2 linked regions of the Drosophila melanogaster genome follow. The protein of the gene in region 1 interacts with the protein of each later gene in a pairwise test. Each region holds a gene or a part of one and is shown in the gene's direction. Other genes may lie near its edges.

What was found.
Region 2: the proteins of Men (region 1) and CG15177 interact in a two-hybrid assay, tested with the Drosophila melanogaster proteins (one large-scale study listed by BioGRID).

Annotation. Positions count from the first base shown.
Region 1 is NT_033777.3:12,719,383-12,724,526, reverse strand, and holds the start of Men (malic enzyme), read left to right. Parts: upstream 1-2,084; 5' UTR 2,085-2,329; coding exon 2,330-2,391; intron 2,392-3,742; exon of another isoform or gene 3,743-3,860; coding exon of another isoform or gene 3,861-3,910; intron 3,911-4,499; coding exon 4,500-5,124; intron 5,125-5,144.
Region 2 is NT_033777.3:6,627,562-6,631,064, reverse strand, and holds CG15177 (uncharacterized protein), read left to right. Parts: upstream 1-1,743; 5' UTR 1,744-1,874; coding exon 1,875-2,234; intron 2,235-2,289; coding exon 2,290-2,400; intron 2,401-2,450; coding exon 2,451-2,657; 3' UTR 2,658-2,861; downstream 2,862-3,503. Other genes in the region: sunz (sungrazer), read right to left, coding at 45-245, 304-411, 467-820; sowi (solwind), read left to right, coding at 3,312-3,503.

The DNA of each region.
Region 1 (5,144 bases):
ATCCCCGTCACATGCAACTTCGTGGAAATTGCGCTGGCTTAGCTGGGTAAAATCATTTGATGATAAAAGTGGCCCTCAATTGCCTTGTTGCTTGTTGCACGTCGTTGGATCTCCCCTCATCACGTTGTTATTAAATTGCAATGGCAAAAAGTTGAAAAAGCAATATGTGCAAAACATGGTTGAACTGAGCATGTGAAAAGCACTGGACTCGGAAAATCAGCTGACACACCTCTAAAATAGCAATCGCGCGGTTTGAGTGTTGTATTATAAAATGGCAAACTATCAATTGGTCATTGATTTTATTTTCTAACGCAGGTTACAAACATGCATTCCTAAATTGACCCACCAATTTATGGTGAAATAATGTAATTCATAACAAAAGGTGTTATTGTTACAATTATTATTATTATTTGTATTTGTATAATACAAAAGAAACCGTTAATCATAGATAAATAACGGTCGTTTTCAGAACTGCAGCTGGCGCCATCTGTTATTATTTATGAACACTCCAACGCAAACAAAGCTTTTAAGCTTTTATTACATTAACAGTAGCGCCTAAAATTAACGGCCAAATCTAGAGCTTAACGATAGCGCCATCTATTATATTTTAAGCGAACTATCACTTATCAGTAATGTTTTGCAATGCTAGGTTTTATGGTTCTGTTAAACGAATTTAAAAAAATATAAATTATAAAAATTTCTAACTGGAAATTTCCATTCGGAGTGGTTTTTAGTATTTTTTGGAGTTTCGCTTGTATAATCATTGTTATTGTTGGCCTCCTTAAGATACTTTCGTGGTCACTATTGTATGAACTAGATAGAATGAATCGAAATTTTAACAAACTACGATGTTATCTGTGGTTTTTAAAATACATATGTAGATAAGTTAATAATGGTATAGCGACATTCTTTGTTAGTTTTATATGCACACTTTACTTCAATAATCCAACAATTTTCTCGTATATGTCGATAATACCAATATTAATGCAGCCACGATTCCGCCGTATGGTTTTTTTTTACTGACTTAACTGAAATTACAATTGACCCTGGCAGCAATTGAAATCGTGTTGCAACTTTTCATACGACACTTTCGCAAATTTTAGACAGTAAACACAAGCCGACACTTCAACAATAAATTCGATATAGCAAACCAAACCCAGTAATTAATGTGTGTCATATTTGCACAATTGAACAAGATCTTTGAACATTAGTGCAATATATATTATGATTTCAACAGACAGCAGTGCAATAAAGCAAATCTAATTAAAATTCGAGTGCCACCCAGGCGACAAATGAAACAGCGGTAAAATCATTAGGTGATAAAATCAGAGTCAAAAGGCGAAAAAAGCCTAAGGATCCACCACACCGACTACCGAGTCCCCTTCCCCATCGTTTCAACTCAGTGCATTTGAAATGACCCGGAATTCATTGGATTTATAAATTTTTCTTCGCCACTTGCCAAGTGCAGCCGACTGGGACGCGATGGTCAGCAATCGAGTTGCCTTCTTTGAAAGCTGAAATTATTATTTTTTAATTGGCCAGCAACAAATTGCTTCATGCATTTGTGTGTGCCGCCCAGAGGTCACTGCGATTAACCAACCGCTCAGGTTTTGTGTGACTCCAAGTGAAGTACAACTCAGCGCCAAAGCTTCTCTAAGGCTGCAACGATTAATCAAATACGGTGAAACCCCGAAATGAAAGTCTTGCTAGATTAAAATTAAAAAGAGAATACAAACAAACCCATTTTTGTATAGTCCTTTTGTAAAGCATAAAAATTTACAAATTATAGTTAAATAAAACAGCAGATTACCTAATATCAACGTTAAATAGTGTTTAAAGTTATTGATTTTTATATAAGAAATAAACTAAAAACCTATTAAAAATGCATTTTAGATTTCATCCTTTTTAGCGAGGGGCCACTGTAGCCGTCTGGGCCTACCAAAGTGACTCAGTGGAGCAAATGTCGCGTGCTGCCTGCGTGCGGGTGCGAGCGGGAGGGCAGCACCGGACACTCTCCTTCTCCTTCTCCTTTGGGCCGCCCGCTGCTAGCAAGTTGCCTCCGGTGTTCGCAGAGCCGCGATTTCAGCGCGAGTTCAGTTTTTGATTCAGTTTCAGGCGGTTCGGAGTTGCTAAGTCAAGCGCAATAGCTCAAAATACACTTTTTTTAATTTTTGTTAATAACTGTTTTTAATAATTCCGGTGAAACATCGCGTGGTCAAGCGAACTGAGTTAATTTTCGCGTTAGAAAAGTTCACAAGTTTTGCGTTTACCAAATAATTAACTATAACTATTTAACTGGAGCTAATTTAACTGAAATTTAGAACCCAAAATGGGTAATTCCAGTTCCATTTGCGCCGATCGCAATGTCATAACAAATTTCGATGAAAATGGGTAAGAAATGAAATGGAAAAGTGAACAAACTGAAGCTGAACTCAAGCGATTGGCAAAAGAGGATTTCGAAAATGCGAGAGTTGGCCAAAGAGTTTGTGTTTACTAATGCGCAAACATGTTTGTAATTAATTTGTTTATTTTTATTGTTACTAAAAACTAATAACTGAAAGATTAGGAAATTATATTTTACATAAAAAAGTTATTTATAAAAAACCATTACAAATTCTTAACATTTTTTGTTTCGATACTTAATATATTTAAGTAGATCCTTTCCTGCAACTACAAGTTTTTTCTTGTGCAAATGCAAGCCAAGCCACCGCCCTCAGCCCCGCCCCTCCAATAATTTGTTTCTCGAGGTGTCATTAGTGGTCAATGATTCGTTTTACTAGTGTTTTATCAACGATTTACAGGCGACTCGTCGGCGTTGCGATAAAAAAGAATAACTTCTGACACACGCCATCGATAAAAAATTAGAGCACCACCTTCTTAATTAACGATTTTCGAAGTAAAAAGAAAAAAAAAAGTTAGAGCGACAGGTGTGTTTTGCTCACGAAGGTACTTGGAAAATGTAATTCGTTGGCAAAGCTGAAGTAAATTGTTAATATTTATGAAGGTTGCTCGGGCACACACACAAACATGTGTGATATATTCCAATTTATTCGCCTGCCGTGTTTTACTTTCAATTTTTGTGTAATAATTGAATATATCAAACAGACATCCGAGCAAAAGCGGAACGGGCCCACCGGTCGTATGAGTGAGTCAAGTGCAAAGTGGGGCGGGAACTGAAGCGATTCGGGACACTGAAGGTTAAGGTTGGGGTTTGGGGCTTCTACCTTGAGGCGTCTCTTTAAATAATTTATACTTAGTCAGATGCCACAAGTTCAGGAGGTATTATTGGTTTATATTTAACGCCATCGAGTCTAATAATCTCTAATAGAAAAGGTTCGGTTTATTTAATTCAAGTAATGCACGCACGTTGTACTTAAGTTTACATTAAAATCAAAGCTACTGATTATAAATAATAGTAGATAAGAAATTGCTAACTGCAATACTCTATAGTCTAATTTGAATACTATTATTTCGACCGCTGCTGTTCTCACGGAAACTTTTCGCATGCTATTCACGCCGCATCGCAATGTTTTCCAGGTCCCAGACAAATGATTTGATGGTAATAATCGTTGTTTAATGGCGTTTATATGTGCAGATAGTGTTTGCACCGCCCTTATCAGTCAGCTGATATACCCCACACAACTGAAACTAATCGGAGAGAAAGAGCCAAAGAGCGCGGAAACAAAACAAAATCGCAAAGTGTATACATATGGTGGTAGCAAAACAAATCGAATACTGCGGTTCAGTTCAGCACGAAAGCTGCAGCAACGCAGACAAAAGTCAAATACTCAGTGAGATAATTGTCGGCAAATCAATATACTAATAAGTATATAATATAGAAGACTTTTAAGAGCACCGCCATGTACTCGATCCTACGACGCTGTTCTGGTATCAGAAAAACTTTTGGACCGTGAGTCGAATGCAAGAATTTCAGAATAACAAGTATAATGTGGTGTCATACGATTGGACCACAGATCAAGAGGGTGTGTTTCTGAATTGGCAATAATCAGTGTCACTTTGGCACCACTTATCGGTTTCCATCTGGAAGGCGTGTCTGCGATGCATCGCCTCATCATATGACCATGCACATACGTTCAAACATATCAGCGCATTTCAAAGGTTCTGAAAACCTTGATAAGGAATCTGAAACGAAGAGTACCCACCCTTTAAGGGCCTCTTTTAACCCTAAATACCATTTTATTGCTCTACGACTTTTTGGCTATTACAAAAAGCTTTTTATGGTGAAATTCATATATTATTATATACTGTTATATAATATACTATTCAAATAAGATATATATACTATTAAAATGTAATATATATATTATTAACAATTGTTAGTGTGGGAACGTGGAGTGTGTACGATTAAAATTCAATTAAAAATGTTAACATCGGTTCTTTCAGAAAGAGTATCCGAATGTTGGTGACGAATTGGTTGTTATTGTCACTCCCGCATTGACATTCATTCACATATTGTCTGCTCTCTCTCTCTCCCTCAGCACGCCGGTTTATCCCACCGCCAACAATTCGCAGAGTCCTTCCTCATATAGTCGCGGCAAAGAGCGCGAGCTCGGCTGTTACACGAAGAGAAACAGCAACAGCAACAACAACAATAGCCATGAGAGAGAGAGTCAGAGCTGTTGTAGTAGTCGTGTGTGTAAAAATCATACGACCACAACGACAACCACACTCGAATACGAACTTTCCAATTTCGCAAAACTAACGACACGAATCACAACGCAAAGTGCCGCCGAAGTGGACACATCGCCGCATACGGATACGGAAACGCATAGGGACAGAGATTCGAATCCGGGTAATATAGCCTTAGCCACCGATTTGGAACTGCCCAAGGGTCTGCCGTTATCGTTATCCTCGCGACACCACTGGAATCAGCTGCAGAGCAGTTTGCACGCCCTTCACCACCAGCAACAGCAACAACAACAGCAACTACGTTCATACAGCTCCACTAGCGAAACAAATTTGGAAGACAAGATGAGCAAACCCGATTCGAAACTAGATAAATACGCGCAGCGCGATCGCCTGGGCCTTTGGGGCACTGGTGACAATGAGGTGGTCGGCAGCCTCTCCGGATTCACCCGACTCTTGGACAAGCGCTACTCAAAGGTGAGTTCCACAAGTAGGAA
Region 2 (3,503 bases), 6.1 Mb from region 1:
AAATACGAAGAATTTTCCACAAGGAACAGCCTCCTTTCTTTCTTTTAATATAAACCTTCTGGCGGAAACATAGACTCAATGTTGTGGCAGTACGCCACCAGTGATCTGTCCTTGTCATCCGGGAATATTTTACCCAAAAACTCGAGCAATCCAGGCTGATTCTGTACAATTTCGGCGTACTCTTCAAACGCTATCACCCCATCCTTGTCAGTGTCGAATTTTCCGAATATGAACTCGCACATGTCCTGCTCGGAAACGGTGCTGAAATGCAAGCATAATTGTCAATAATGTCAGTACACTCACCGCTCGCAATTCGTTGACCTCGTCGTCGTCATCGCCAGTGAAGAATTGTTCAATGGCCACGCCGACCACCTCGCGATTCAGAACCACAGCACCACCGCTTGTATAAACCTGTAGTCCATGGGGAAATTTAATAAAGGAGTAGCCACGATTTCGGAGCAACCACCTCAAATGCGAACTTCATTCGCTCCTGCAGACTTCCGTTGAAGAACACACAGAACAGCCGCATCCAGGCTTCTGGAGAGACTGATCGGCCATCCTGCGTGATATTCATCGAAATCCGGTCGATGATGGTCACGTCGAAGATCCCAAAGCTGACGAGGAATAGATTGTACAGCTGGCTGGTGGACATCATGCGGGACCTGTTGTTCAGGGCGTACTTGTAAAACACGATCAGCAAGCTGACCACTTCGTTGGTGGAAAACTCCGTGGAGGCAGCGAAGCTCTTGATCAAAGTACTGTACATGGTGAGGAACTTGTTGTTGGCCATGTCGTCCAGGGTAAGGTCGATGCGGTTCATTGTGTTTTTTAATGGCAATGGTAAACAAGTAATTATTATTTAAAATGTTTTTTAAGAGAGTACTGTGTAATGGGGCGTGTGTTTCGGGTGTGTGATGAAAATGCCTAACTTATGAGGCTCTGGCCTGCTTAAAAGGGTGAGGGTTATGCAAGACAAATTGCAAATAGATTGGGTAAGTCGCAGCCGCAGCCTAAGGATTCGCCGGGAATGTAACTGGCGCAATTTAAAAGCGATAAAACAACGCCGCGACATAAAAAATACATCAGCCACGCTACATGGACTACATCTGTCCCCCATTTCGAATAAATATTTGAAACAAACCCGCCTGATGAAACACACAAAGGCTGAGAAAAAAGCTGAAAGCTGTGCGCATGAGAAACGCGAATATAATAATCCAAACAAAAGCGCTGAGATGGGTGTAAAGCCTTCCATGTGGAAATTCGTCGGAAATGGCTGTGTAGCCATTTTGTTTGGGGTAACAAATGTTCGGAATCTCCTTCCCTTTGTTGTATAATTGTATGCCCCCTTCGAAACACACTCACGCAAGCACACACTCACACGTGCCACGCCCACCGAAATACCAAAAAAAATGAGGAGGCGGCTGAGCAGCTCGACACGGCATAATAACAATAAAATAAGAGTGGATGATGAAGGAGAGAGGGCGGCAAGGATTCACGCTCCTTAATGTCTCCACAGTTGACATCGCCAAGTGTTGGCGGATTTACAGGCAAGTTGGGCTGGATTTTGGTATGGACTTTTGATTGATATATTTTACGTACGGTGTTTGGAAGAGACTTACGGCATAAATTTGTTAAGCAAGACAAATGGCGCGGAAGCGAAATTGGAAACATTTTAATTCTCATAAAACGCTTAAAGAGGGCAACCATATATTTTGTATTTTTGAAATCCAGAAAAGCAGGCGAAGGAAACATATGCCAGCTGCACTAGACATATCCATTAAATCATTGTAACTCCTTAATCGATAATCAAACAATATCATATATCCAGTAGTAAATCAAAGTAAAGAGTAAATCACCGTGAGCTTCCCTGAACCATGGAAAACCTAGACTCCACTGTCGATAGCACCGAGAACAGCAAGTTCTCGGCCCTGTACGGTGGATTGATTAAGGAGATCGCTGCAACCTCGAAGATGTCCACCTTGGACATCACCTGTTTGCTTTGCGTTTACTACAAGTTCGTCAGGTTCAACGGACCTGGCGCCAAACAGATGAAGAAGAATCAGTTCTACCAGATCTACTTGGTGCTCTTCAACGTGGCCAATGTTCAGGTGATTGAACGCTCCCTTCTGGCCATCACCAAGGATACCAAGTACGTGAGTCCCCGTGCCTGGGTTGATCTCTTTGAGCTGTACACCACAGAGGATCTGGAGCGCCGTATGAAGTTTGCCTTTGAAGTGGGTAATGGATTGTTAAGCATTTCTAGAAGGCTCTAATAGGGTTCTTTATTAGGTTTATGACACCAAGAACACCGGAGTTATCGATCGCGAGCAGGTGGGCGTGGCATGCGAGAAATTCTTCCACGAAGGCGACGACGAAGATGAACTAATTGAGCTCAGAGCGGTAAGCTTGCTTATCAATTTAGAATAATTTAATAAATTTACTCCTCACAGGACATGACTGAATTTATTATGAAGAAGTTTGATGTAGACAAGGATGGAGTCATTTCGTTTGAGGACTACTCCTCGGTTGTTTCACAACAACCCGTTTTGGTTGAGTTCTTGGGCTGGCTATTTCCATCGAACGAAGAAAGGGATCTTATGGCCCATGTTATCAACATGGACTCCATGCTCAATTATTGTAATCCGGACGCAAAATAGGCTTGTCGTTTGATTAAGCTTGATTATCCCACTGTGATAATAATCGAACGACAAACGACAATGAATGAGGACCAAAAGGATGCCGCCAAAGTAGTTGATCAAAATTTTTGTATGATTTCAAATTAATCATTTTTATAAGCATGATATATCAAATTTCCACCAACACTTTGAAAATAAAGCAAAATGTTTCGCGTGAGCTGTCTTAAAAGGACTTGCGATTGGTTCTTGTGTTAACTTGGTTTATATAAGGCGATAGAGTGGGCGACTCTTTATGTGAACTAGCAGACACTGCGTATGCATCATAAGCTCTCCAAAATCTCTGTTCACATTCTGCACGGGGCTCTGATCAAGTGGATATGCACACTTTAAAGAATACTGTATGGGTAACGGCGCTATGAGCCGTTTTGGATACTTATATAATTCCGATAGCCAAAAACGAAAAAATGCGACGCAGGAGCCTTTGAACTTATACGAAATAGTTTTTAAACATTGTTATTCAAAATCCATCTGCCAACCCGAACATAACACAAAAATCACAAAAAAAAAAAAAAATTAGAAAAAGAAAACACACACAAAAAAAAAGTTTCAAAATAAGGAAAAAAATAACAAAAAAAACTTTACAAGGAAATAAAAAACATTAAAAAGAATTTAGTTATGGAAAACCTAGACGCCACCATAGATAGCATGGAGAACAGTCGGTTTGCAGCGCTCTACGGGAGTTTGATCAAGGAGTTAACCCTAACTTCGGAGTTGTCCCAGACGGACATCACCTGTTTGCTCGTCGTTTATTACAAGTTCTCAAAGGCCAACGGACCGCAGTGCAAGCAGATGACCAAGAAGCAGTTC